Drosophila melanogaster: one gene and its partners. The protein of the gene in region 3 interacts with the protein of the main gene of each other region in a pairwise test. Each region holds a gene or a part of one and is shown on either strand. Other genes may lie near its edges. The genes, in order: Obp56d, CG4563 and Hk.

Evidence for each region.
Region 1: the proteins of Hk (region 3) and Obp56d interact in a two-hybrid assay, tested with the Drosophila melanogaster proteins (one large-scale study listed by BioGRID).
Region 2: the proteins of Hk (region 3) and CG4563 interact in a two-hybrid assay, tested with the Drosophila melanogaster proteins (one large-scale study listed by BioGRID).

What each region holds. Positions count from the first base shown.
Region 1 is NT_033778.4:19,698,426-19,707,749, forward strand, and holds Obp56d (Odorant-binding protein 56d), read right to left. Parts: upstream 5,491-9,324; 5' UTR 5,326-5,490; coding exon 5,278-5,325; intron 5,208-5,277; coding exon 4,860-5,207; 3' UTR 4,499-4,859; downstream 1-4,498. Other genes in the region: Obp56a (Odorant-binding protein 56a), read left to right, coding at 1-3; Obp56b (Odorant-binding protein 56b), read right to left, coding at 417-770, 833-892; Obp56c (Odorant-binding protein 56c), read right to left, coding at 1,748-2,386, 2,545-2,643.
Region 2 is NT_033778.4:24,447,897-24,458,494, forward strand, and holds CG4563 (uncharacterized protein), read right to left. Parts: upstream 5,145-10,598; 5' UTR 5,110-5,144; coding exon 4,960-5,109; intron 4,893-4,959; coding exon 4,498-4,892; intron 4,432-4,497; coding exon 4,315-4,431; intron 4,257-4,314; coding exon 3,305-4,256; 3' UTR 3,188-3,304; downstream 1-3,187.
Region 3 is NC_004354.4:10,250,565-10,261,497, forward strand, and holds the start of Hk (hyperkinetic), read right to left. Parts: upstream 6,105-10,933; 5' UTR 5,612-6,104; coding exon 5,548-5,611; intron 5,027-5,547; coding exon 4,929-5,026; intron 4,609-4,928; coding exon 4,156-4,608; intron 3,744-4,155; coding exon 3,439-3,743; intron 1-3,438.

The DNA of each region.
Region 1 (9,324 bases), on a different chromosome or scaffold from region 3:
TAAAGAAGTTAGGGATTTAATGCTTGGCAAATTGTGATTCGGGAAAAAATGTAACAAAATTTAAATAAATTCTTTGTCCAATGAAACTATGCTTTGTTTTCCATATTAGGTGTTAATATGTCTTCTTGGTTTGTTTGAGTTTGGGTTAATAGAAATGCAACAATACGTTAAATCCTTGTTATTATTAAATCACCCAGTTTACTTTGATTCAATGCAATCATAGAACAAGTGCATCATTCTGAATCAGAAGGGTGAGTGGCAAATTTGCCACAGCTTAATTGATGCTCTCAAGCCCTGTTTCGCGTAAGCTGATTATAATCCATATTCATGTGTAAGTCAGGTGATTCGGCGTTTTCAATTTGCATAATTAAATGTATGACTGCATTGAACACTTAAACTGCTTTATTGTTTTAATTTTAGGCACTAATACCCTTAACAACACACTTTTCATAGTTGTAGACAAAGTCACAGGTGGCGGCTGACTTTGTGGTTCCGCAGCTGGTAAGCAAACTCTTTAGCTTATCCACCGGCAGACTGCTGAAACGGATCTGGGCCAACTTAACGATCTTATCAGTATTGGGCTTTCCATCGTCACCCAGGAGACCCAGTTTCTTGTAGACGCAGCTGTGATAGCACTTCACCGACTCAGAGGGATTCGCCACCTCCTTGTCGGTGGTCAGCAAATTAGCATCACTGGCAGCAATATTCAGCTCCTTGATGCAGGCCTGTTGAATTTGCTTGTAGGCTGCCAATTCCGCAGCTGACTGGCCCTGTTTTAAAAATGCGAATAAAATGATGAATTATCCCTAAAGCAACGTTTCATCCAACTTACCGCTACTAGTTCGCTTAGAGCGAAAATTAGGAATACAACCAACAAGTAGATAAGTTTCATCTTTCCAAAGCTACATTCACTGTCGAACTGAATTTCGTTCACAATAATATGGCTTAAATACGCGTAACATGCTTAAGTTCCAGACTTAATTTTGCCAATCAAGTTATTATTTTATTAAAATTCAATTAATAAAATTTATCAATTTTAAACTGGGTTATTTTTAATTCAGATCCAATTTTCCCATTTTAACCAGTAGGCGTTAAATCATCGCTGCCTAGATGATCATTCGGGTCAGTGAGCTTTGTTTGGACTTTGGATTTATTTACTTATTGTGCGTGAAATAGATTTTCTTCTTTTAAGATTGATTCTTATGTTTTAAGTGAAATGGCTTTTGTGTTTCTTAGTTTCTACAAACAATTTTTATTCGACATACAGCTGCATATAATAACATAATATGGGTCTTCTTATTAGTGTATTAATGATTGGGAAATGGTTACTTACTTATTTTAAGTATGATAAAATTGCTTACATTCGTTTTCTTCTTTTTACATTCAAATCAACACATTAGTTTACTTAACAATCTGCCCAAAACTATGCTATGGAACCGTTAAAAACATTTAGAAAAAAGTTAAGCCCAAAATTGAGCCCTATAATATGGTATTCAGCTTTTCAAACACATCAGAAAATATTAAAGCTTTTAATTAATAAAAAAAAAACTCTAGCAACTTAAAATTGTTTAAACTAATTACGCTGAAATGCAAAACTCTTGTTTTTATTTTATTTTATAGCTTTAAAACTCTCAAACGCTGAATAAGTTACAATTTAAGTACTTATTCATACATACATTTAAATAATAAGTGGATTTTCTATATAGCAAACACCGATAAGAAATAAGACCTACAAGTACACAGCTATTTACTCCGACTTAGCGGTGGTCATTGCTTCTCCGGAATGCTGGATGCCGTCGATAAAGTCGCTGCCCTCCGGACCGAATCCCTCGTTCTCCGCCTCGGTCCGCTCAAGTATCTCACGGATACGCTGCTCCGCCTCCAGAGTTTTCAGGTGATTGTAGCACAGGTGCAGCTTGTAGGCTGCCTCGCATCGTGTTTTGCCCTGAAGATCACTACACTCCTTGATCTCCGCCTTCTCATGCTGTATGATCGTTTGCACCTGATTCTTAAAGGCCTCCTCCAGCAGGACATTGTACCTATCCAAATCCAGGGTCTCATACAGACAGCTCACAAAGCACTGCAGCGGCTCATTATGCTTCAGATCGAGATATGGCATCTGCGAGTTGCCATTGAAGTCCAGATCACCCAGGTTATTTACATCGCCAATGGATTGAACTGGCGTAGGGGCTATATCGTTGTCATTATTGTAGTCGCTGTTCATCAGGCTCATGTGAAAGAGTTTCAGTTGCGACATTGAGATCTCGGTCCTACGCATACAAGCCCTCAGCATCTCCTGGCTGAGTTTGTTTTCTGTTCCATTTGGCGGATCTGGAACCAGGGTTCGTGTCATCGACATGTTCAGCGAGACGGAAAGCGATCGGGTCTGTGGATGAAATGTATTTTTGTAAAAATTATATATTGTCTCTATGTATTCCAATATGTCTTTTTAGTTGTAAGAAAATTTGATTCACTTCCCTTTTTTAATATTTACCTTGTAAATATAAAACATATAATTCCAAGTACTACATAAGTCGAATTTACAAAAGATATATAAAATATGAAAAACATTACCCATGCTTTAGAAACGAATTCACTAAGAGTGAGGCAAAGCAATGCCATCAAACTGGCTCGAAAATACATCTAAGAAATATTTTTAAAATTTGTTTGACGATTTACTATAAAAACTTTTCAACTATAGAGCCTGTTGCGATTTAACAAAAGCCTTTTATAGAGTCGTCTTTATGGAAATCGGTTTAAATTGCTATTTAATTGTCGCTCAAATCGATTGCCAAATCATGTTCATGCCTCACTTGCTAGGCCCATCAGGTAATCATATTCAGATACATCGCATATAATGTGTCATGCATCAGTGGATTGCCAATAGCATTTTTGGGTGAGAACTCAAATTAGCATTCGCCAAAAACACTCATCTGACTTATTTAATGGTCTCTATAATTGCACAAATACAAAAAGGTTTGCAAAAAGTTTCAGGTTCAATTTGGTAGATGAATCTACAAAACATTTAAGTACTGCTCTATAAAGGTGTTTTAAAAACGGTACAACCATTGTTGGCAATTTCAATTAAAATAATCATTGTAATTTTTGACTAATTTGTTTTTGCAAGCAATGTGGGTTTTTCTTGTTGTAGTTGTGGAAACATAAAAAAATACAACCAGAAGTTTTAATTAGATTATGGAAGTGGTTACAAGCTGTATGCGGAAAAATGATAGTACATAGAACACGTTTTCCTTCTAAGATAAAATTATTATATTCCTTACTAGTCTAGTTGTATTGCAAACAAATTCAATCACATTAGTTCAAGCCACAGCAACTGGTTTACTTGAACTCCTTCTTTCTTTGGACCACTCTAATTGACGGACTTAATAACAGACTTCTGCTGATAATCGGAAACACAACCGCAGCATCCCCAGCCACATCACATATTGGTCTTTAAGATCAAAGAAACTTCACATGGACGGACAAAAAGCGAGAGACATCGGAGCATGAAACAAGCAAGTGGCAGCCACCCTGCAGCGAAGTTTTTATAAAATTAAATTACATTAATGTGAGAACCGCAGGGAAAGCCTCCCCCTTCAAAGCATCAGCACTCAACCCCAACTCCAGCGATATCCTTGGTCCTTGGCCATTGAAAGCCAACTAACGGGAGCAAGACAAGTCAAACAAGACGGCCAAGACAAAGGCTGATGTCGAGCATCAATGTGCTACCATCTCACGCGTGTTGGCTCCTTTGACAAGCCGCCATGGCTGTCTACTTAAATGCATTAGCTCGGGGGGGTGGAATCCTTCGATTGGGCTGCCTTTTTAATAGACATTAGTAAACGCATCAGTGATTGTTTGTTCGGTTGGCCGGGAAGGCCATCGGCCATCGGCCATCAGCTCTTGTGCAGACAACTGCAACTGAAACGGATGCTAAATGGAAGTGACATTACAGCCAGACCGACCCCAGGAAGTGACAAAATGAATTATGGACCCTGGCTGCGATCCAAACTCCCCAAAAGCCAAAGTCAAAGCCAAAGTCGGAACAATTGTTCCCTCCGATGCCACCTGATCCATGTTGAACCAGTAAATGCAATTGCGACACGTGCTCAATGAATGTTTAATGATTTGTTAATTGGATTTGGGCTTTTAAAAACACGGCTCCCCGTGTCCAATTCATTTGCTCGAACCCCAACGCATCCTGTATCGCCGGGATCCCAGGTCTTTGTGCCAATAAGTTTGCCGTCGCTCATCAATATTTATGCCAAACATGAGCGGCCAAATGCCTCTGGGATCGCCGCTCTGTACCAGGGACTTAAGCCCCTGACGACGGTCTGACAGTGGTTGGTCCTTAATGACGGCCCACTGTTATGCAAATGGGTACGCGGCCAAAACGCAAATGGGTCATACAGTGGAGCATCCATTGACAAGTCGAATATGCATAAGTAATTATGTATAAGAATTTCACCTTAATTTCCTTTGAGACACAATAAAAGGCGTTCTCTGTTAGGGGTTTACGTAAGTTATTTTCCTGGAAGGTTCCTTTAAGTTTTTGTTGGACAGCTAAAAAGTTATTTGATCAAACGTTTAACATTAATATTTAAAATATTAACAAATGCCAAGTGAGATTCTAGGAGAGTTATGTAAAAGCTTTAAGCATGATCTTCTATTTGGAACATAGTCTCGCAAAGGTTTCTTGTCAAGTTTTTTTTTAAAAACGAAATATATTCTTGAGTTTATTATTCAAAACATTTACAGATCTAAAAATTTTGTTTACGAATTGATATACTGAATTAAAACAATATAAGTAACAAGTCACAGACAGATTATCACACAGGAGAATATCGGAGATTTGGCGCTTAGATGTGGGCGCGATTCTTGTAGTAGCACTCGAATAGCTGATAGGCAGTATCGCACTTATCCGCTCCCTTGGTGGCATCACACTTGGCCTGAACGGCCTTCACGGCATCCTCGCCGGCCAGGGGTCCCAACTTGGCCAGAACGACATCGGGCTGGACCTCACCATTGATCAGGAATCCGATTTTCTCCAAGAAACAATTGGCGAAGCATTTCACCTTGGGGTCACTGTCATCGAAATTGCCGTTTCGCAAGGCGATCGCCTGATCCTTGGTGATTCCCTCCTGCTGGGCACAAAGGGCGCCATTGGCATGGGCCACAGCCTTCTGCTCATCGGATAGTTGCAGCTCCTATAAGATATATTCAAAAGATACACTTAGCAATACTACCCCTTTAAATCAGAAACTATTTGTAACTCACAGCAGCCGAAATGGCCAAAATGACGGAGAGGACAATCAGGAACTTCATTTTCGGTAGAGATGTTGTTGGAAACCCTTTGGTATCGAAACTGTTGAATTTATTCTGTTAGCATCTGCCTTTTATACGATTTTGCATGCAGCTTCGTCAGAGTTTTGTTTTGATTATCGCTTTTTGTTTTCGCTCTACTCCGCTGATCACACTGTATAAGCAATTATTACACATACACACGGCAATACACCGGTTAGTTTACTTAAACCCTCTCCGATCTTGTTGATAACCCGAAACTGACTCACTTTTTTTTACCATTTCGGTTTAAAGTTCAACAGATACTCGAATCAGTAAATGAAGCAAGTTCACTGCGGCTTTCCATTGTACCTATAATTGGCCCTAATGCCCCAGACTCGGGCTTATTATTAGGCTAAAATCGCTTCAAAGCCATAATGTAAGTGCTAATTGTAGTTTCAGATTTTCCACCGATTAAAAGTGTGTTGTACTTCCCAAGGGTCAGAGTGCCCAGCGAAGCGTCAACGTCAACTAATTTGATTTAACAATACACGTAACTCCAAAACCTTAAACTTGAAATACAATCTAACGTTGATTTTTATGGAGGTGTTAAAACAAAGTGCATGCAAAGCATGATAGGGGAGTTTTAGAGAATAGAATATAAAAGCAACATTTTATATTACTTACAAAAATTTTTAGTAACACTTAAAATTTAATATAAGTTAACGGAGGCCATGAGATGCTCGAATTATTTGTAAGCCTTATATAAGGTCTGCGCTTAAATATATTTCTTCATTCCCTATATATAACCCTTATAACCAAAATATATCTATTAATACCACCATTATAAAATTTGTCTCATATTAATAAGGCTACCTCATTACCGCAACAAATTATTTCTTGGTGATTCTAATGCCATTATTAATAATTAAATAATTTTGTTAATAGACCCTTTTTTTGAAATAAGTCTGATATTACATGATAAAATTAATGACGAACGTCTGATTCGTCAAACCTGTTTTAACTTTGTCAGTTGTTCTCCTACCTATTTTTATTGTTTTGTTGGTTTTTTCCAAAGTCTGAAGTCAAGTGCGGTTATCAAAGTCCAAATATTCAGATGACTCTCAAAATCTCAAGTCCGTGCGATCAAACTAAACTGGTTTGCAGATTAATTTGTGGCACAGATGTGTCTAGCTGATTAACAATTAAAGTGACATTCGGGTAATTTGCTGATGTATGTATATATATGTATATATTTATGCATGAGTTTTAAGCGGAACCGTTTAAGTCGGCTAACTGCCCGAATTATTTAATTATGGTAATAGAGGCAGCTACCAAAGTTGATGCCTACGTGCCAGAACTTTGCCTCATATATTTTATCAATATTTACTGCTGACAGCATCGATAATTCATGACCTACTCAAACTATATACCGGTGCCTGGGTCACCCCCTGGACTTTCGGAGACGAAGTTACCGGAGCGAACTGGTAAATAGTTACGCACGCCAGGGAAAACAAATGTCAGAACGATTATTGCGGCCCATCGTCGCCTGCCAGGGCCATAACAAAAGTAAAATATTTAAATAGTAATAAATTCATAATGTCATCGTGTATAATGCCCCACAGCTCCTATCGGAGACCTTCCAACGATTTATAGACAATAATAACTGCAAACACGAAGCGGTGGCTGACTCCTCAAGTAGTTTGATTTCAGTTCAAGGAGGTGGAGGTAGCCTATTCAACTTTTCCAGCTTTTCCACCTGGTGAAGAAGTTCGCTGTCCCCAAAAGTTTCCTGTAGTGGAAAGGAATAAAACTGTTTTATCGTAGACATGATAGAACGGGAATGAATGTCGCATGCGACTCATATATAATATAAATATTAAATACTATATGGCATGCCATAAAAATATAAACAGCACATAAAACGACAATGAAAAACAATGGCACACGTTATTAAATATGTGTGCCCGAAGAACTGGTAACGGCTAATGAAATGTCATCGGACCCGAGGGCTCAACTCAACTCAACTCAGCTCAGCTCAGTTGAACTGAAATGCAAATGTCACGCGAAAAACTATTTGACGACAACATTACGTTGACATAATAATAATGCCGTCAACCGTTGAAGAACCCCAACTTAAAGGCAAAAGCTCGGCTAGAAGTCATATGCAAATTTTACGAGCTTCTCATGACCGGTCATAAAAGTCAATTTATTAGCTATGGGAAATTAAAAAGGAGAACAATTAAATAAGTGCAAAGCGTGAATTTGATTACGGTCAGCGCTTACTAAAGTTGCAATTTTCATAAATCATTTGGACTAGAACCAGAAGTTTTATTTAGACCAACAGATTAGAAAAGGAAAGCAAGGTTTATAATAAAATATATTCAGCTCTCACTAAAAGTTAATAATACCAATTCAGTTAATAACTGGAAATCGGTAATTGTGGCAGTTGTTTCTCTACATATCTGATGAAAATCAATAATTTAAAGATAATAAATGCAAGCGGTATCCTATAATGGCAGCTGTGTAATTAATTATAACCAATGGCGAGATAGGACCTCCAGCTCCCAATTCCGCAAGCCTAGCAAAAAGCTACAGAAATTCAATTAGGCTTATCCCATGCAATAACAACACCGGAAGCAACAACAAGAGAGCTACGGAACAGCTGCAACACCTGCGCAATTAATTAGTGTTTGCCGCATTAATTTCAGAAAATAAAAAGAGATGGCCGAAAGGAAACCAGAGCCACCACCAGATGGGATAAGATAGGCACCCTTTAGGGTCAAAACCCAGCGTTGGCTAATAAATACAGAAAGGCCCCATCCAGCGTCCTTGGCTCTTCCACAACTGGAGCAGAACATTCTCAATGGACCACAAAGGCAGTGGAACACTAAGCCACTTAAATCAAATAAAGCAAATTCAGTTAATTTAAATTATAATGAGGCCCAGTGCCAGCGCGGAACATTGAATACTATTTGCTGATGAAAAGATGAAACGTAAGCTAAAAACTTGTGTAAATATAGTGGCCTATTTGCTAAAGATAGGTAGGTTTTGAACTATTTACGTTGGGATTAAATTTTATAATGTCTCATTTTTTAATTGCTGTAGACTTAGTGCTACAAATAATATGTATAAAAAGTATGCTACAATCCAATGGGCAATCTTTTTTCCCCAAGGCACGCATTAAAACTGGGAAAGATATCATAATTTCCACTTCTATAATTTGTTTACGATTATGGCCGCATGCAAAATAAAACGCATTTAAGTAATTAAGTCATAAAAAAAAGTAGCGTGCTGGGTTTGCTCCATAAAAACCGACCCGTCTGCAATAAAATGCCAAAAACAAAACAATTAGGCAATTAAATGTCTTGGTATTACCAAAAATTTTCGTTTTGGTAACAAAACGCGTCATAAAATAAGCCAAAATGTACTTGGCCACCGGGAATACGAGTGGAGGCCCTAAAAATGGATCACAAGTGGGGGAAATTATGTGAAAATGTCTGCACTGGCCGTTTTTTGTTCTTTTCTTGGAATCCGCTCTTGTCTCCCTTTGACATCCCAATAAAAACGCAAAAGAAAAAGGCGATTGCCAATGCGTATGCGAGTGTTTTAGTAATATTTATTGAATTCCAGTTAACGAACCCAGAACCGATGGAGCGTTGGATAAGGGACAATGTGCGAAACACAAAAGGAGGGGAAAAGTATAGGGACGGGCCAACAGTCAAGCAAAGCTTACAAAGCTTTTCAACGCACATTTTCCGAAACCGTCGCCGCATCCCGAAACTGCTGAAAAATTCCGAGCTCTGCAAAATGAATTCTTTTGTGACAAGTTCAATTCGGTTGAGGGACAAGTCAGTGGCTGGGATGCGGAGTTCATATGGAACTCCGACCGAACTGTAGCTGCTGCTGCTCGAGACCTCGAAACCTCCAATCCTCCTATCCTCCTATCCCCCTGTCATATAACGCATCAAAGACGGGCCAGGTGAAGGAATGCAGTGCTCGTTCTGTAAGAAATTGAAAAACCCAAACGGGGGGGAAGCCGTC
Region 2 (10,598 bases), on a different chromosome or scaffold from region 3:
CGCCCTTTCGTATCTGGTGTTTGTCTGCGTCGACTTCCGTTTCCGGTTGCACGCTCGCCATTGTTTCACCCCTTTTTATGACTTCTGGCGCACATGATTCTGACTCTGCCTCTGCCTTGCCACTGCCACTGCCTCTGCCTGTGAATCTGGCGTTTTGTTGGCTTTTGATGAATTTTTATTAAAAGCAAATGTCCAATGCACCAAAATGGAAATCCAAATCAAAGCGAAATGCCCAGAATGCTGCTGAATGAAAATGTCCATTCAATTTCTGGCCCATGCATCCGTTACGAGTGTGATGAATTCAAGAACTGATGTACAGCACTCCGTAAAAATTGAGATTTAATCAGAGAGCTTAAACTCGTTGGATCCCAATAACTGTCCGCAGTGACTGCTATTTATTCCTCTGTTTTTCGATGGCGCAACCTTTGACCTTCTCGGACCTTTTCGAACTTTGGCTCCAGTCAGCTGGAAGTTTGTTTGTTTCCTCCCAAGCCAACGAGCTTCGAATAGGAAGCGGGAGTGCCTTTCCCCAGACTTGGACACCCACCAAACAGAAATTTCGTGGCATTAGGCGGGATGCGCCACAATTAACCTCTTGAAATCGCCGACAGTTGCCATGCTGCGGAATGCTTTGGTAATTTGGCCCGTGGGCATCGTTTGCACAATGCTACTGATAAGGATGACCGGCGAGTGGGGATGATGGGCGGTGGGTGGTGTGCGGCGACCTTGGGCGTGATTTTGGCTATTTTTGGGGCATTGGCAACGGGTTGAAGTGATTTGATTTAATCATCGACGCGTAGGCCAGGACAACGACTGGCAATGAATAATTCATTGAGGCCTAACAACTTAAATTGCTTTGGCTGTAGGTCTTCATTGCAAAGTGTCCGAGTAGTCCTTTCAAGCTTCCAAGTGAATTTAAATCTCCGCATTTTAATTGGCTTATCCAATCTGTTATCTGCAATAAATTAAGAACAATAACCGAAGGTTTAGGGGTGGGCTTGTAACAATGGATTAGGTACATTGGATGTCGTATCTGTCAGTCCTTATCACAGAAATTTCTATTATAAATATTATTTTTACAGACCCTAAATTCCCTTCTGGGGAGCTTGAAATAACGAGTGTAAATTCAGAAGCACAAAGGCAGCAATTGCATTAACGTTCTCTTTACGACCACCTCCGATTCCATGGCAATTTGGCTATGTTTCGTGTTTTGGCCAAGAGCGGAGTCACAAGCCAACGGCAAACATTTGCGACATTAGCGATGAACATTTTTACCAGCTCCTGCAGCTGAAAGTGCTCTGCGATGATGCATTGCTGGCAGCAATGCAATTAAGAATGCCACCGACACGAGACCGGTCCACTCGCAGCCCGAATTCTCTGAATCACCTGGATCGCCCGCTGGACTCCACCCACGCAGGTCCTCCCACCAAATGGAGTCGAGAGCTTGCTGTAATAAACAATGGCAAATAGCATTCGAGTTGACAGCGAAACACTGAGACGGTAATTGCATGTAAACATGGTTGTTTGGAGGAGCAGTCTGCGCTGTGGTGTAGCTGAAGGTTCCCCGTGGTGCTGCCGTAATCAGGGAGGGGGTGGCGAATAAAGCAGGCCATGATCGGGTGTCCTCCGCAGATAAAGACGCTGCCTGCCACATCACTCAGCCGAGCGGGCAATCGGAGCCCTTCAGCTGCGTCCATCAATCAAACACTTGCCTCCGGCCGCGGAGTCAAGACCCTTGAGTCCTTTCAGCCGGCATCAATGGCAGGATCTGTTAAGTCCTTCGCCTACGATGGGTGATTCGGTATGGACGGCATGCCTGTCAGCAATCCGGCGAACCAAATCCGAAATCACCTCATGCGTTAGTCAAACGTCAATCACGCTTACAGGTGCCAGTACTGATTTTAGATCCATATTAACTAAAGTGAATAACCAAGCTATTCTGATATGAACATAAAAGTTAGAAATGCTTTCAATGACATTGATTTTTCGTCGCTAAGTCCATCTTATAATACCATTCATGATTGTGCATTTCATCAGCCTAATAACCTATTACTATCACAGAAAAATCTTTAAGGCAGCTCATGGTATTTTCGAGACCCTAAAGAAGAGCCAACACATTTTCAAATTATTGCCGAGCATTCCCACAAACTTGCAGCTGCAAACTCAAATGGAGAGCAGGCGATTTCAGAAATTTGCCACTGGATTCTCGAGGGCTTGTGGCATCCGGAGACGGACGCTGTGAGGGACGAGTCCTGGAATCTCGGAGCTGCTGAGATGTCCTATGGGCGTGGTCTGTGGCAAGAGCAGGCCGACGAACAGCGATTGTGCTTATGTTTATGCGCGCTTATTTACGACTTAGATTTGAATAATTTACGATGGCGACGACGGCGGGTCAAGAATGCAATGCGGGTGCAGTGGGATGCAGCAGAAGGGATGCGTCTTTAGGAGCCACTAGGACACTCCAGCCAGCCAGCAGCGAAAAGCAAACAGGACTACTATTGCTACATTGAACTTGCTGGGTTGGCCAGTCTGGTCATCTGTGTTTTTGCATAACCATAACCTGTGAAAGAGCAGCGAAATCGAGCAGATTGTGCCGCATGCGGCGGAAACAGCGGTTGCGATAGCTTTGAACGCAACCGGAAACACAAAATGCCACCATCGACCGGAAGGTAAATTATTGCAATCGGACGGCCAGGCATTTTCATTTCCATTTCCATAACCGTAAATTGCCGCATTTCGCCGTCACAAAAGGTGTTCATATACCAACAAGGATCAAACCATGGATTTGCCTCTTCCGCGCGCAATTCGCAATTATTCGGACTTTGGAGTCCGGAAAGCCACGTCGAGAGACCATTCGAACGTGGTTAAAAGCTATTCAAAACAGGGAACTGAATTAAATGCACTTTGCGGTGGTTGGTGGCTGTTTTAATTTACTGTGCTTTAACTGAGATTCTCGTTTTGCATAATTAATACTTTGCCACTATTATCTCTATCTGTGGGTAGATAAGTGGCGAAGTGCATGACAAGCAGTTTCTTTATTGAAGCTACATCTTATCTCTCGTTGCGTACCTAGCAATTTAATTAAATTCAAAATATAGATATTAAAGCAATGCGGATATGATATTCCTGATAGCATACCCACTTAATTAGAAAGAACAGACAACTTTAAGCCAACAGCTCGAAACGTAATCTATCAAATGTAAGTTTTAATTATCACGAATTAACAACAAGCAACAAGAACTTAATTTTGTCCTCACATTAAACCAGGTAGCTCAATTTTAAAAGTACATAGTGATTGTAGGTGTTAGAAGGTAATGGGCTTGGTTTTCTCGAACACCTCGCGTGCCAAACTCCTCATGACCTTGCCGTTGGCGTTCTTGGGGAACTTGTCCACGAAGATGACTCCGGCATTCAGCTGCTTGTAGTCCACCACCACCCGCTGGGCCACGTGGTCGATGACCTTCTGGTCGGCGATCTCGGCGCCCTCCTTCTTGATGATCAGGGCTCCGGCGGCGTCACCGTATCTCGCATCCCGCACGCCTACCACGCACACGTGCTCCACCTCCGGGAGCTCGGCGATGATCTGCTCAATCTCGTTGGGCCAGTAGTGCTTGGACTTGTACTTCAGCAGGTCCTTCTTGCGGTCCACCAAGTACAGGTTGTTGTCCTCGTCGAAGTAGCCCAGGTCGCCCAGGTTGATCCATCCATCCTGGAGGGTGGTGGCCGTGTCCTCCGGGTTCGAGAGGTAGCCCTCCCACTTCAGGCCGATGTCGATGAGCACCTCGCCCGTCTGATTCACGCCCAGCTGCTGGCCATCCTCGCCTTGGATCTTGATCCTCATGCCGGGCGCCAGTCTGCCTACAGAGCACTCCAGACTGTGGTCGATGTTGATGGTCACCACTCCCGTCTCCGTGGTTCCGTACGAGAACATCACGTAGGTCTTGGGCAGCAGCTCCTGGGCCCGCCGCAGTAGTGCCAGGGATATCCATCCTCCAATCACGAAGGCTATCTTCAGGGACTCCAGTTGCTCGCTGGTGGCCAGTGGACTGGTGAAGAGCTCGTAGGCCTGCCATGGCGCCATTGCCAGGCAGGTGACCTTGTACTTGCTGACCAGGTAGAGAGCCGTCTCGGCGCTAAATGTCCTCCTGGATATGATGCGAGTGAAGCCACATGTGAGATTCATTACGGTAATCGAGAATCCGGTCATCCAGTCGATGGTGGCACTGGTGTACAGCACATCGGTACTGATGCACAGCCTGTGGGAAGAGATGGGTTAGACTGGCTAGTCTGGGAGCTTTGAACTTGAGAACTCACGAGTTGGTGGATGCAATGTGGCGGTGGGAGAGGGCAACTGCCTTGGGCAAGCCAGCAGTGCCGGAGGAGCACAGGACCACGGCGATCTGGTCGCCACCAGTGGCCAGGGAAGCAGGTCTGAAAGATATTTAAAATAATGAATTTATTGAAATTTAAATTGATTGAAGATCTCAAACTACTCACACATAGATCTTCTCGGCGGGATGGGGCTTTACGAGGTCCTCGATGCTAGTAACGCCCTCCACTTTACCCGTGAGCGTGATCAGCTTGGGAGACCACTCCTTGGTGATCTCCTTGATGCGGTCGTAGTCCGGACCGTCGATGAACATGATCTTGGGTTTGGTCACCGAGTAGAGACCCTGTACGATGGCCGGCTCCCTGGAGTAGTTGACGGCGTGGAAGGGCGTGGCCTGGAAGAAGCAGGCGGTGGCCACGGGGATCACGAAGGTGCTCGAGTTGGCGATGATCCCGACGCGGTCCTCCTGGGTCAAGCCCTCGCTCTTAAAGAATAGGGCAATCCGGGTGGCGTAGGCCAGCATGTCGGCGTTGGTCAGCACGGTGCCGTCGTCGTCGGTGATCTACTTTTATATAATCGAGCTCATCAGATTCCCGTCTCCGCCGGCTACCAGTCACGCAATCGTTTACCTGAATCACATTGGTGGGCCAGCACCTCAGGGAGTTGAACACGATCTGACCGACCGAGGTGTTGTGGTCGTAGACCGTGGGCCGTGGCGGGCCACTCCAGACCTGGGTCTCCTTGTTGAAGAAGGTGGGGAAAACCGCCTTTGTCGGCATTTTGCTAGTCCAATTCTAAATCTCTACTGAGTGCCCAGAGCCGTTACGTTGTCTTTTTATATCGCCCTGAAGGGGCGCTTATCATATCAATTAAGCAATTAATCGCTACACTTGCCGAGTCCAAAGTTTGGCCAAAATAAGTCGAAGATTTACGGTAACATCAGCTGATTCCCGAGGTGGGCTCGTCTAATCTAGCCGGAGTCACTTTTTTAATTTCCGCTCCAGGAGGCAGTGACTTCCGTACCACTTGTCCCATGGGAACACCTTTCAGAGGCAGGTGAGTAAGCAAACTTCGCCGGGGTCAAAAGTATTAATTCCCGAACTTTTGTCAGATAAAAAGCTGTACTATATTCTTAGAAAAATATTTAACAGATAGATTCTGACGAACGATATCTTGGAAACTATAAGGGATTACCTTGCAAGTACAATATTTTTCGTTCTAATTTGATTGCACCTGGTATTACTTGGACGTGGCATAAAAAATGTATTTTGTGATTGATTAACAGAGAATTGCGCTTTATATTGTAAATAGTTTTAAGCTCGTGATATTAAATATCCTTTGAAGTATCTATTTGACCCGCCTGGAACGTTTACTTTAAGTTTTCAGAAACTATTTCGCCAGCTTAACCTGAACTTAAATGTTGTTCTGCGCCGCTTTCAAAGGACTCTCCGAAATAGTTCCTTTTAAATGAACTCAACGCCGGCATTTTATTATGGCTGTAATAATTTCGGGGAGGGCCACGCCCTGTTGCGCTATTTGCATTGTGTGTCGGCGCCCCAAAAGGGGGGCTGTACCTCGAAAAGCTCCGGGAGTTCGGTTGCATGCATATATTAACATGAAATTACAGACAGAGCGGCCAAAAGCGAGCAAAATAGTTTAAAGTGTTTCTGAATTTGTTTGGCAAAATGAGCAGGACCCGGCGAAATGCATAAGCAAGGACCCGGACAAGATGCTCCCGACGATTGGCATGCAAATGGGGGGTGCCACCGCAGGAAACTGCATCTTAAGGCTTTAAGTCCTACGGACTTTCGGGCAGGACGAGCCGCCGTTCCGAGTCAGCGAGTGCGAGTGCGAGTGCGATTGCGATTGCGATGCCGATTTGATTGGCGGTTTTGGGCGCCAGTCCTGGCGGGTTACCCCAACGTGGTCTCCTTGCCCACTCGGGCGTGACACGAGGCGTCAGTTAATAATGTGCGTTATAATGAGATGCCCCCACCTCCCAGGTGATTCCACCGCAAGTATGTCGGGTTGACGAGATGCTATGGCCGTACTTGTGGATGACTAATCCGACGGACAGACAGCCAGTTTGTGCTTCAAGTGCCGGCTTAATTAATTAACATCACTCGAGTGCGAACTGTTACATAATTGAATTAGCAGTCGATGGCTGATAAGGAAATACTATTATTCCACGGCTTATCGCCCTCCGCGTCACTAATTCTTTCTGAATGAAAGTGCACCTGCGCTTGGGGGTTTCACCTGTGTGATAAGACTAAAACTTTGTTGCCAGGATGGCGAGGTAACTGTGTCTCAAGTGCAAATAGTTGCATAATACGGCGGACTGTCGATGCCTGATAAGAATACTATTTCACTGGAGATCCCTATTGTTTTCTGAATGAATATAGGCTTCCTTGATGGGGTTCCAAATTTTCGATAAGAAATTAGTGGAGAAACTAATTGGGCCCACTGATATCTAGTTTGTAAGCAGGCGGCTTATCAGCTCCAACACTGCCCACCGTGAGACATCATTTTGCATTTGATTTTAATGGTTCCCACAATTGGAATACCACCTCTAGATAATAAGTCATTTTAAGCTCGAAGTTAATTATTAATATTCACTGCAATATAGAGATATATACTTAGATCCTAGATACGATGGTCACTTTCATAAACTATAGTTTCCGTACTTTTTTCGCACTTGCTTCCAACTGTCTGGTATCAGCGGTGTGCGGTCAGTGTCCCTGACCTTAGACACCAATCCCCCGGTGGCTCGGTGGAAAACATTTGGATTTGCGTTCGGGGCCTTATCACGCTTATCACACTTGTTGGTGGTCCGCCACGTGCTCGACGGATGCCGCCGAAGCGCAACTGTCATAAATCTTGCATACGCACCGTGGGCATGCGCAAAACGGGTTCCGATTCCGCAGCATTCCGAAACATCGCCCCATTCATAAAGCCCGGCGATGTTTCTTGGCCGAGGATTCGGGCTCCGACTCGGATGCAGCACACCCGATGCTGGGAAGGAACGGACCAACAGTCTGCTGTCTGGGGACTTGGACACGCTCAGACAGTTTGCGGTGATTCCTTCGACGAGGCGGTTGCAGCTCGGCTCACGAGTTGGTCGGAAAATCACTCACGGGATCCGTTTGAGTTGGGGAGCCCAAGGGGTAAGGACTCAGGCCACGAATTAGCCACAGATAAGGGCCTAACATATTGCCAAACTAGTCAGTGCGGTTAGCAAAAAGTTTGCTCAAGTGTTGTTAAGTGCTGCGAAGTTAGCCGTGGTAGTTAAGTGCGCTCGAAACTGAAACTCGGCCCATTCGCAGTTGGCCCTCACACGTCGAAAGTTTTTTGGGCCCAACCCTTCACTCGGGCCTGTCCCTCCTTTCCTTCCTGGCCTGTCAAAATGTTTTGTTCCGAACTTTTCCTCCTGGCCCCCAACAATTGAAGTTTTGACAACGAAATTTAGTTAAGCAAAGCTGCCGCGGTTTCGTTTCTTTTCCGGCCCAACTGCAGAGCGGAGTTTGTGGAAAAGTGCGCTTTTCAGTCCTTCGATCCTGTTTGGTTAACTACGTGAACCGCCAGCAAAGTGAACAGATTGGGCGTGTGATGTGAATGTGAATGGTGAGTGCAACGAACGTCCTTTGAAAAGTGTACACTCGATTCCATTGATGAACTTTACTTGAAGCATTTTATTGTACAAGCAGGTTTTTGAAGTATCTGAGATAATAAAACAATATCACGATATCAATAGATCAATTAAAGTTTAAAGTTTTCATAACCATTAAAATTGAAAAATAATATCCGCATGCACACCATATATTGTGTGGATGAAAGCACTAGCTTCAGCTTGTTGTGGAACAAATCTTAAATTTGTTTTAGTTTTTTCTCGGGAATATGTCAATTATTACAGCTTCATTGAATTGTTTCCCTAGAAACCAGCTATTCGCTTGTAGTCTAATTTGGAAGAATCCGAAAGTCCTTTTAGAGGCCTTTTGTTGGACATTTCAGTGTGTTACTACTTCTGTAATTGCTACTTTATCGTAGCTTCGTGTCCCATTATGAAATGGACACAAGGAGCCCACGAATCCCAGAGGGTCAGCCCCAGGCGCATAAATATGCCCCGGCTTGTCGGAGGGACCCACTCGCATTACAATACCCACTGAGAAGGACCAGAAATTGTGCGTGTCGCATCTATAATTAAGTGAATATAGAGCATGCTGGGCCCACCAGAAGGAATTTCCTGTCCCTACGCATTTCCCAGAACATTAGCACCAGAAATGGAACCAAACAGAGCCAAACATGCCGTCTTGGCCACTGGAGAATGGATTTGGATGTGCGGGGTATTTGTGTGGCATTTGCGAGAATGCCTGGCAATTGCATATGTATTTGAGTGAATATTCATCATAGAGAATGGGGAAGTTCAAAGGACCAATATCGGCCCGTCGTCATGTTTCTTGGTAATTTTTCAAGGTTCTGTTCCAACGATTCCATCGAGTTCATAAAGTTCACAATGTTACCTCAGCTCACCTCTTTAGCCCAACTGATTGCGCTTGATATTGTGGCGTCTGGTATTTCGGGGCCCTTGTATTGTCAATAAGGACATTCTTCAACAACTCTGGCCAACATCAAAGGGAACCACACCCACATTCAAACACAAGGCGGGAAATCCCCCTGCCGCTCGCCACACAGCAACTACAGGCGCCCAATCAAAACACAACACAACACTTGCAAAAGGAAGCTGGGGAAGTCAATTAAATTAGCCATAATATACGGCAAATGTTTGCCTAGCTACTGTACAGTGGGCCCCCCGTGCACGGACTTAACACCCTGTGTGTGCCACTGTCCCCGTTTGCATTTGGCTGCTCATGAGTAATGTGCACACATAATTATGAAAAATACACAAGCCACTCGACCGAACGAACTACAGTGGAGCCTCGCTACGCTCGACACCCTAGGTGCTCCACTGCTCCACTGTTTGTTTGCTTGTCTTGGCTACACGTCTGTGGGAGATGGAGATCTGTGCTTTAAACAACAAAACATCCAATTCCGCAGGGCAAATAATTTAATTACCGACTGGACGTTAACACAAATTTTACTGGTAATAAATTTAGAAGCCTCTTGGAAGAATATAATTTACGACTTATGGCCCATTAAGCACTGGAGCACTGCATCATGGGGGTAAATTAACTGATGATTGACCTGTTCACTCGCAAACTCGCCCTCGGCCAAATGGGCAACTAAAATGTGGGCAAATCATAAAATCTGGTGAGGCCATGAGTATCGAGCTCCTTAAATTTCATATCAAGCTGAAATTGTTGCACTTAATCGAATGTCAAACAGTTTCAGCCAACACTTTCCCTGTCTAAAACTGGTAGCAATCATGACTGTAACTTTGTTAGATATTAGTACAAGCCCATACCCTGGCTGTCGAGTCCTGGCTGTCTGGTTACTTGAACCCGGGGTCAGCAGGACTATTTGTAGGGGTCCGTAAGCCATCGAAACATTTGCGGACCCGCCCATGATAACTCTGTTCAAGTGGCTCAACTCTCCGGAATTCCTAAGCAAGGGGCTCAGCGGCAAGGGGAGGACACAAAACACTTACATAAAGAACAAAATCTGCGATAAATCCACAAAACCGAAAAACCGAATAACGAAAAAATGCAGAAAATATACGAATGAGAGCATGAAAATTATGGGCAGCAATATTTTTGCCAGCTTTGTTGCTCTGCCATTTGGCATTTCTGTGGCCTAGACGACGACACACCCACAGAGACACAAGGCATGGCTTAAATAAATAAAATAAATCAAAAATGTAAATCAACACTCAAACGTGTATCTGTGTGTCTGTGTGTGTGTGAGTGTGTGTGGGGCTGGGATAATAATTCGCACACATGTGTGGGCAAAGGATAGGGATCTGGATAGGATAGTTGGGGTATACTATAGAGGGGCTTTCAGATGGCGAACTCTCATTAAACCTGCCTCAGATTGCGTCTGCAGTCGTTCGTTGACTTTGGCAGTGTTTTTCGTGCGGTTTGTCATTTGGTGTCGGTCTGTAATGAAAGAAATCATGACAAAGCATTCATTTGTGGCCCCGGGAATTGTTTGGATTTCGAGTGTCAAAGAAAATATTAAATTATCTTAGGGCGCACAAACGCCTCTAACGAAGCATTTATTTTGTTTTATGGATATGGATTTCGACTTACTGCGTATTGAGCAATAAAATCATTTACTCCATGAAAAATTCATGACTGCTCCAAATCATCAAATG
Region 3 (10,933 bases):
GTGGCTAGTAATGGTTGGCAGCTCAGATGGCATAGGAAAATTGGCGAAAGAGACAGAGAGAGAGAACGCTGAGCGAGGCGAAAGAGCGAAGCGACACTTTTTGGAAGATGGGAGGTTGGGCGGTCTGGTGGGTGGTGAAGGACGATGGGCGGTCGGCGCTGGGTGGGCGGCAGATACGACAAATGCACGTGTTATTTGCAAACCGAAGGAAACAGCAGAGAAACAACAAAACGAGAATAAAGCGTGAGCCACAAGGTCGACATTGAAATACCCTGCACGGAAATATAAATACTTTTTTTTGTGACGAAGTAATTAAAAAATTAGTTGTAGTTATACCCTTCGTTTTCTTTTTCATTTAAATATACGTGCAAGTGTATTTCTATATTTATGAGAACATTTTCAAAAGACAATGTTCTCTTAATAATTAAGGCGCTTCAGCTAGTATTTTAATTTTTAAACACTTTAGGGGCAGAGATGCCATCAGAGAAGAGAGGGACAGGGAGAGGGAGAGCCAGCGCGCGCAATTTTGCGAACATCGGAGCTTTTTTTTCGGCTGCTCTCTGTTTTTGTGGTGAATTTTGGCCCAAAACGCACGTGTCCCCGTTTCAAAAAAGCCGCCATTCCCGCCGTCCCCTCTCTTGCTGCGCCATATCCTTACTCTCTATCACTTGGTCCTTTGCTCTGTTTCTTCTGGTTTTCCCTATCTCTTTAGTATCCTTCCCTAAAGTATTCTTCTTTTGCGGTTGCAAATTGGCCCGGCATGTTTCTTTATTCTCCAAGTGGGAGTGTGGAAAAGCCAGTGGGCTTATGCGTGTGTGTGTGTGTGTGTGTTGGAATCTGCGAGTGTATATGTGCGTTGGTGTGAGTGGAGTGTGTTTCTGTGTCCTGCATTCGTGTGTGTGTGTGTGTTTGTAGTAGTACTACAGATGGATGGAAATGCGTGTTTTTTACGAGATTGCCTTTTCGGCTTATGCTCTGGGGCCTACATGGCCTTTCCTTCTGGTAAAATGCATATATGTATGTACTCTCGTTTATATGCTGCACACACGTGCATATATATGTTTTTCGCTGACACATAAATACCCTATAAGTACTCATCTTTAAGGTTCCTCAGGACCACAGACTCCAGAATAACTGGCTGCCCGCTTAAGTAGGCAATATAAATTCACTTTGAGTGCAACCAAATTCGTGGATTGAATCATAAGCAGAAATAGTATATTTTTTGAAAAGGCCCACGTATAACAAAACAATTCTTTTTTTATAACAAAGCTAAAATAAATATAACAAAGTTTTGGCAAAAATAAAGTTGATTAAAAAAATAAAGGATTCTTCATTCCGGATTTAGCTTCTTAAATAAAAAATATCTAAACACTGTTTAGAAAACCCTTTGTGACGGAAGCTAGCTTTTAATAAAAGTGCATCGAAACACTCTAAAAGCCCCATTATAAGCCACCCTTTTTTGATCGAAATAAATGGCCAAGGACTGCGGCTAATGCATTGGCTTGGGAACCGGGCTGGAACGAATCCAAATATTGCACAAATGGCGCCGGAGTAATAATGAATAATGTATAAGTGCAAAGAAGTCACTTGCCAAAGGCCATAACCAACACCCCCGGTCAGCTTTCAATGGATATAAGTGTTTAAATACACAGCCGCGCCGCGTTATGTGGGCCATATAAAATATGAATCTAACTGCATGGGAATATTAAATTACACTTTGCGCTCGGCAAGCAAAATTAATTCACAGAAGCCCGTAGCAATTAAAAGGCACTTACTCACGGCAATTGATTGCGTTTCGGATTTCGTTTTTGCACATAAATGTTGGATGATGTTACGGTTAGATGCCTCAATTTCGATCCGATTGCCGGAACAGCGGACTGCAGACTGCAGGCTGTGCCAAATCAAATATAATAAAACCCCGGTTCTCCCGGCTACAAACGGTCGGAAATGCACCTGTGCGCTGATGGGGTTTACCTGGCAGGTCGATTAATGACTTGGCCTTAATGAAAAATTAACCATTTTAATTTGAGGCCAACGCAGAAGCATGTTATTTGCTAATTTTCCCATCAAGCTTAAGGCGCGCAAAGTGCTCGCATAGTAATTACGTTAGAATAGAAACCGCGGCGTTTAAATCAAGTTACTGTAGAATTTCCATTAAAAATTAACCTGGATTGATTTCTTAATTAACCTGGAATGATTTCTTTTACGCTTTAACCTTTCATTTGTTTTCAACATATAACTAAATAGAAATATTGTATAGCATTCTGAATTTCTTGCTGGAATTGCAAACACAGATTTCATTTGAAATGCATTTATTTTGCGATGCACCTAGCCCACTGCACGTGGGCGCCATCTGTGGCATGCAAATGCAACTGCCTGCTGTATTACATGGCGTATACTTGATATGCCTCGCTTTTTACATGCCACTTACACGGATTCTACATGCAACTTTCGTAGCATACTTTTCAGGGTTAAGTGCACTACTCAGATTTGTTTCGAACTTTTCGCAAAAAGTTTCATTGAATGCCCTTTTGTTGTTATTTAATTGTATGAGTCATAAAAACAATTGTGCCACGAAAATCACTCATTTCACTTGGACGAGGTAAAAGCTTCTGGAAGAAGTCCAAGAAGAAAATAAAAAAAAACAAGGTGGCCTGACTTAATGCCGCGAAACGCAGTTCAAACAATGTAAGGAAAATGCAAATAATCCGATTCTGTATAATTGCACACTTTTGCCGAGAACACTTAATAAGATGCGACAGCGGATACATTTACATTTTCTGGGAAAACAGTTCGTGTTCATTTAAGTTACTTCTTTAATATGGCAATTTGTAGATACTTTTTATATCCTCTGCTAAAATTGTTACTCATTAAATACCTAAGCAAATGTATGCAAATATATATTAAGCAAAAGTGTTATTTTTTAATAAGTAAATCACTTTTCATCGAGTTCGTAGCTAGAGTCATGATTTTTCATTCTTCAGCACACACAATAAAATCGAACCATAAAATCGGTTTAATAGAGTGATACCCTTATCGCCTTATTTACTGCCTTTCCACGCTGACAATCCCGTCAATGAACCATATTCAGTTAAATTTCATAGGAATGGGGACATTTTACACGATGATGATCAAATTTAATACGCTCTTTTATTACATTACACTTTGTATGTGATGCTCGTCTGGCATTCATTGATTTTGGAGTGCGAAATCAGGCCACACAAGAATTTTGCTAGAACAAAGGACTTCAAAGTTGGACAATGGCTGCTTCGGACAATTTTTGACTTTTGCACAGCAGGGCAAGGGATTTTTGCTTTGTCGGTTTTGCCAACATAATAAAACTTGTTGGTGTAGTGTACAATTTAGTTGGCTTTTATATCAAACTTATATATATATATAATACATATATTTTGCGGCTAGTTGTTAGATTGTACTCACATGATGCGGTGGTAGGCATCGAGCTGGTTGTGCGCACAGGTCACGGACTGCTCAGATTCGGTGGAATCATCGCGCAGCGTTGCAACGCCGAGCGGCAGAATCGGTATGATCGCAGCTGTGGCAGCTGCGGCCGTTGCCGGCGGCCCCGCCAATGTCGCCGATTGTCCCGCTCCCGCTCCTGCTACTGCAACCGCTATCGCTGTCCCGCTTCCAGGTACCGCTGCTGACGCTCCTCTGCCCGCCCCGACTGCGCTGCCAGGGAAGGTCTGCTGTGTGGAGGATGATGATGTCGTACTATCGAGCTCCTGTTCAAAGTGAGTTCCCAAAGAAAGTATATTTAGCTAAGCGGCTCATCATTGAAAAGGTGGACAAAAGCGGTGTATCAAAGGATCTAAAATAGAGGGGTTCCTTGAGTTTCTTAAGCTACAAAGAAAACTATAACGTTTATTTAAAGAGTAAAGTGATCACCCAACCAATCATAAATGAAGATAGCTTATCAAAAACATTTATAAATTAATTCAATTGAACTAAATCTATAAAATAAATGAAATTCATGCCAATAGCAAAAGTTTGAAGGCTTTAACGGGCTCTTTTGTCCACCTTCCGGTCATGGAAAAGTTGCAGCTGGCAGGTGCGAAATGAAATGGATGGGTGGGCGTGGGTTCTAAAAAGGGGTTAAGGCAGTGGGGGTTTTAGTGGTGGTTAGTGATGAAAAACCTTGATCTCGCCGGTTTCCGGCTGCGAGAATCGCTTCCGCTCGTAAAGAATCTCCCGCTCGATGGAGCGACTCCGGAAGGCGGGGGGCAGCGATCGATCGGGGGGAGGTGTCTGCAACTTTGGGGTCACTGGTGTGTTGCTGCTGCCGCTGCCCGTTGACTGTTGTTGCTGCTGCTGTTGCTGCTGCTGCAGATGCTGTTGCTGCAGATGCAAATGCTGCCGCTGCTGTTGCTGCTGCGAATGCGAATGTGTCTGGTGGGCGGCGGCTGCGGTGGACGAGGTGGGCGGACTTTTCTCGCTGGACTGCTGCTGATCGCGATGCTGCTGCTGCAGATGCTCGCGGTGCTGCTGCAGTTGTTGCTGCTGCTGGCGCTGCTGCTGCTGCTCGTCCCGCTTCTGCTGGCGGCGTATCTCAAAGTCCAGCAGACGGGCCTCGCGTTGCTCCTTGTCGCGCTGTTTGCATGCAATTGTCGCAAAGTGCATTCTTACTATCAGGTTTAATGGATTATCGCATGGCCATCGTTATTATTGCTGTTGCATTTTCAATTACTGCTTCATTTGGATTTGCTTTCTTTTCTTATCTATACTTTTTTTTATAATTTTTCTTGGTACTCTTTTCTTTTTCTTTTTTTCTTTTGAGGGATTACATTGGCTTTATCAAATTGTTAATTTGTTTGCACGCGCGGTAGACACACACACGCACACCGAATTGGCCGCGACAGAAAGAGATAGGGAGAAGGCAGACAGAGAGAGGCACACACACACACACTCACCTTGTAGTTGATAGCGTCCTGCTCTTCCTTTTTCGCCTCGCGCTCGTTTCGCTGTCGATCGCGTTGCTTCTCTTCGTCGGTCTGCGAGTTCTTGCTGTCTATATAATTTAAGGAAAGTATTAAAAAATGATTAACAAATAAGGGAAATAATAGTAAATCAATCAAAAAAAATTCAAGTTAAATGGATCAACGTTAAAGAACATATCAAAATATATTTAAATCAAAGGATAGATTAAAACATGACAGAGAAAATGTAGAAACATAAATGTTAGAAATATATGAAAAACATAGAAATAATCCAAGAAATCCATAAGAATAGAAAGAGAGAGAGAGAGAGAGAGAGACGGGGGAGAAAAAGAGGCCATGTTCAAACTGTTTCAATCGATTCTCATTATTGTATTTCAATTTGCAATTATTTTACTGTCATCCTCTACTCAAGCACTAAGCATGCAAGTTGAAAAGTTCTAAATGGTCGGATAAAACAACTTGCAGCATGCACATCTACAGCTCGCACTCTTATACACACGCACACACACGCTCTCAACTACAAATATATGTCTTTATATATAAATATATATATATATATATACACAGTTCAAGGCCACGCCCCCCTACTTACGCTGCTCCCCATCGCGCCCACCACGCACTGCCATCAAATAGCGACTCAGCCGAGGCGGTGTCATACTAATTCGCACCTTTCGACAGGTGAAAAGCCCACACGGAATCAACAGTCGTCAGTTGCGGCCGAAGAGCCAGGCGAAACTGACACTGAGCACCAACATGCGGCCCACTAAAAACATAAAGCTAAACACTGAACCCAAAACACTAAACACAACCAAAGTTGACCGCGGCCCAATTAGTGTCATCTTCTCGGGAGGATTAATGCCCAGCTGCGAGTGTTCGCGGCAACCAGACAGATATGCATTTTGCGGTAGTGTGACCAAGTCACGCACGTAATTTGGAATTGCGGTGGGCACACTGATTGCATTAAAGTTAATTCACAGTCAATATCAATTTCAATATCTACACATCAACACGATTGCCATTTGTTTGCATTTTTGTATTTCTCACGTTCGTTAATTATTTGACTTATTTAAATTGGTGTTTTTTTCCTCTTTTTATTATTTTTTCGGAGCATTCCCACTTTGAGGAGCGGCCTCTACTCGACTAACACTCAACATTTGGTTTGCTGCCGTCGTTTTGCTTGCCTCGTACATTTATGCTTCCCATGAATATTTGAGCTTTGAGCTTTGGCCTTGGCTTCAACCGATTCAACCCACCACAAGAGCACAAGAGTTCACCAAGTGCGTCACAAGCGGTGAGTAAACACTTATTTGAGTCACTGTGTTGTGGTGGATTAAAATTGATCATAGGAAAGTTGTAATTGCAAGCGAATTTTTTAAGTTATATTTAAAGCCATTTTTCACTTATTATTTTTCACTTATTTACCTGTGTGTGTATAAAACATCATTTTCTATGCAAAACGAAGAAAACCGGTTTACTTTCCATAGCATATGTATATACTTTTTAGCCCCAAGCCTTGGCAAATACTCAAATTGCCGTTACACAGTTTACTCATTTTATATTCTAGTTATCTGTTTAACCTTTTCGCAAGCTTCAAGCGTATGCAATTATCTTGTTCTACCCTTTTGATGACTTCAAAGAGGCCCGAGTGCCGCTAGTTGAGCGCCACAAGCTTACACCTGGCCCACCTTTGACCCCGTTCCATTCACAAACTACTTGCACACATACACACAGACGCATCAGGGTCTTCATTTTGTAGTATCATCATCGTAGTGTCATTATTATTATCATCATCAAAGCTCTACGAAAAATGCGAAAACAAAAACTAACCGAAAAATGTAAGACAACTAAGGGGAAACAAGGAACGTGGAACGAAACGAACTACACGTAACGTAACGGAACAACCAACGGAACGGAACAGCGGAATAACGGAACTCGCTATGTAGAGGGGGGGGGGGGGGGGGGCTTATTGTAGTTGGTTTCATTTGGTCTATGGGGTTTCTAATGGGAATCTGTTTGTGGCCTAATGGTTTCTATTTCCATTAAGCCAACACTACGAGACCAGAGAGAGACAAAGACAGAGAGAGAGAGAGAGAGAGACGGAGAGAGGCGGGTTGTGTGAGACAGAAAGAGAAAGAAATTCTTCCTTACCTCAATGTGTTTTTTTTCTGATGTTGTACTTGTGGTGATGATGTTGTTCTTGTTGTGTCGAATTTGATTTTGATTATATTTTAGTAACGATTCTTGTCGAATTTGGCAATTGATTACACGCGATCGCGACGCGTACCGAAACGATTGGAATGGTATTAGTACCGTTAGGTGAGTGCGGTGTGTCTGAGTGTGTCTTTTAAGAAAGAGATAGACATATAGGCAGATAGAAAGAGAGGAGAGACTGAAAGGGAGAGATCTCCGTTTTCGATTTAATTCTGTATTTTCTTATTTTTGTATTCTTTCGCTTGTAATTCGTATTTGTTAGACGTGATTCCTTAGTTTTATGATTCCTTTTTTTATTGTGTGTTGAACATAGAAGACAATACAATCAAAGAAGAGCAAAGAAAAGAAGTACAACAAATAAATCTTCAATTATTTCGTACTTAAATCGGAACTAAATCTTATGTTTATTGATTGGGGAGAGCCAATAGACATTGTTTTTTAGTATTTTAATACAATAAAAGAATTTTGGCTAGCCCCAAAATAAAATCTATTTGTATGGACTATCGAATGATAGAAAACCAAGGAAAATAAGGGATTATTATCCTCGAATTTATCCTTTAAGCCGGATTACCTCTCTCTTTGGCTCTGGTTTTCTGGGCCTTGACTACAGTTACGCTATATTATAATATATTTGGTATGTGGCAAAATATATGGTTATACCCATGTAACATTAAGAAAAGAAGGAATTGGTTATCATCGACTATATATGTAAAGAGAGATATACTTTATGTGGCTTTCACATCTAAGAGGAGTCACTTAACAAACGTACCACATACAGACATACGTACAGACAAGATACATATATATGTTAAATACAGATAGATATACAGAGAGAGGACTCACAGGATGGCCTAGTCATACAAAAAAGAAGTGGAACCAAAGAACAAACGATAATCGCACTCCCTATAGACTATACACGGGCTATATATGAATGTATTATCATCGCTTTCGGTTATATCGATCAATTAGATTACATAGACATCGAGGGACGAACAACACAAACGAAGTGGGAATCGGTTTTGTTTGTTTTTTCTTTTTTTTTCGTTTTTTTTGGGGGTGGGGTGGTGGTTAGGGATGGGAAGTATTACGAATAGTAATAGTGGAGGGTCCAAGGTGCTGCCCCGCATGCGCAACCCGTAAGACTCACTTGAGGAACCGCCGCCAGCGCCCGGTGGCGGGTAGGAGAACCAAAATTGATGGGCCAGTTTGGAGTGGGGCCCAACCGAGGGGCTGTCTGGAAAGAGGACGTGGTATAGGTTAGTCAGGGTCCCATATGCAGGGCTCAATGGGGGAGGATCAAACGGATTTGGCACCAATAAAGGTGTTTAAAAGTATGCAATATCTTTAGACCTTTGTTAAAGTCTGCTATCTCTTTAATCATTTCTTTTGAAAAGTTCAAATCTCCGTGATCCTCCATAACCGAAACCTATCGCAATCCGATTCCACGGTGGAATACTCACCGATAAACAAGTCCTGTTGCTTGCGCTTGTGTGCGTGAGCCTGTGGAAGGACCTCAGTGGTTTTTCAGTTGTCCAGTTATCCAGTTGAACTGTTTTTCCAGTCTATGACCAGGCACGTGCGTTGAATTGAGTGAGGCTGGGTCCGACTGGGGATGGATGGTTCCAATGGTACTGCCAGATGGCCAGATATCCAGTTAGCCAAATAGAGAAGCGCCTAGGGCGTGTCAGTGGTTCATTTCGGCGCTTGGGGAATTTACCGAGCAACACGGCGATGGTCACCCGCTGGCCCAATGGTTTACTAATGGGAGCCGGAAAAAACACACAACAAACAAATTAGAGTCGTACGCAAATTGGGGCCATCAACTTACTGACTTGTAGTCAACCATGTGGCAAGTAATCAACCTAACCTACGCATACACACACACTTACACACACACATAGTCGCATACACTGTGAATAATAAAGTGCAGCTAGTACGTAATTAACATGTTCCACTGTTGAATTGTCATAGAAAAGAAAATAAATACTGCTACTAGCAGATCAACATGGAAAGCCAAAGAAACTTTCTGATAGGTATAATAAAAAAGGCACTTTAAAATATAAGAAAATATATATGTTTTGCTCCTTTTTGTCTAGTGTAAGGCTAAGCATTAGCAACCGCAAAATGCCGAATGGCTGTGGCAAGCAAATCTGGTTAACCATGGCAAATCAAATCGAATGGCATTACATCAGCGAGAGCCACTCGAGGGTTAAGTGGCTGGCTGCATGGGTTAATGGGGGTAGAAGAGGACTCGGAGCAGCTTTTATGCCATCTGTATGGGCTTAGGCACCAGCATGTGAAAATGGGTCAAAAACGTGACTCTTTGGCGATAAGAAAACGGTGGGTGGGTGGAGCTGGGCGTTGGAAATGTGGACAAAAGGCGGTTTTAAAAAGTGGGCGAAGTAGTATGGCCCAAGGGGCGGGGCGGTCCTAACCTTTCCAACACAAAAGAATACCATCAAATGACACTGTTTTCAGTTAGGCATTTGACGTTTCGCTTAATTTTTACAACCAGATAATTGGAGGCTTTTTAATTTGTACTTTTTGGTGTAGATTTCATGGGTTTATGTTCGAGCTAATTAACCGGTTTATCTTAATTATGTTGTTATGAATTTGTGTTAATTTATATTTGATTGTTTATCTGTAAACGAAACAGGTAATTTTGGTGTAAATAGAAATCAATTTGTTTAGTTTGTTTATGGTTTTCGCCATCTTTTTCCATCTATGATTTAATGAATTTTCAGGAACATGTGTGGTTTTACTCTCCATATTTGGGTCACTTTATCAGCGGAAGTTCTCCTTTTGTCATCGCTTCAACTTTGCCATTTGAGCATCCTTTTTTGACCGAAAATTGCTGTATTTTATAATTTTTATTACGCCTTGTTTTGTTTTCTAATTTAATTAATTTGGTAAGAGTGCTTTTGTGTTAGCTGGTACAACAACCATTATGAAATTTCATTGCTTGCCATCTACTCACACAGACACACACACACGCACACACTCGGAAAAAAACAACAACAACTCGGCCTAGGGCAAGACCACCAACAACACACCCGTTAATGTGATTGAGCGCGGGGGGAGCGGGCAGGTCCTGTTGCGACCCAAAAGGGAAAACAACTGTTAATTAATGCTATTGTGAATTTTTACGCACTTTATTTCTCTTTTCCAGCACAACAACAAAAAAAACTAGGAACACACACACACACACTGGCAAAAAAAATGGGCAACAAACAGGAGCAGAGAGTGGGTGGGAGAGGGAGAGGGATAGCGGAGGAAGAGAGTGAGAAATTCGCAATTTGGCACACTGCGAATTACCGTTGTGCCACTCACTGCTGCTGCTGCCGCTGCGTTTTGGTTTATTTCCTGTCCATGCCACTGTCAAAATCGGGACACGTTACTAATGCGTAAAACGCTGGCCAAAAACTCCAAAGAAAAAAATATGAAATCAACATGAAAATAGAAACGCAATCAGAGCCAAATGGAGGAAATGCAGGAAAAGCGTGAAAAACGAACTAGGACTCAACTCGACGGAGGCGGCGCCCTTGCAACTGCTTGCTGCTCTGCTTGCGACTGCCTGCGACTGCGACTGTGGCTGCTGCTTGCGCGTTTGCGACTGCTGCGGCTCCTCTGCTGCGGCTTCTGCTGCTGCTGCTGCTGTTGCGTCGGCTCCCTTCGCCAAATGCGAGTGCGTGCGATGGCGACGAGGGACGCGGAGCAGGAAGCTGCGCCGGAGGTGCAAGCCGACCAGAGCGGCCCCACATGATTAA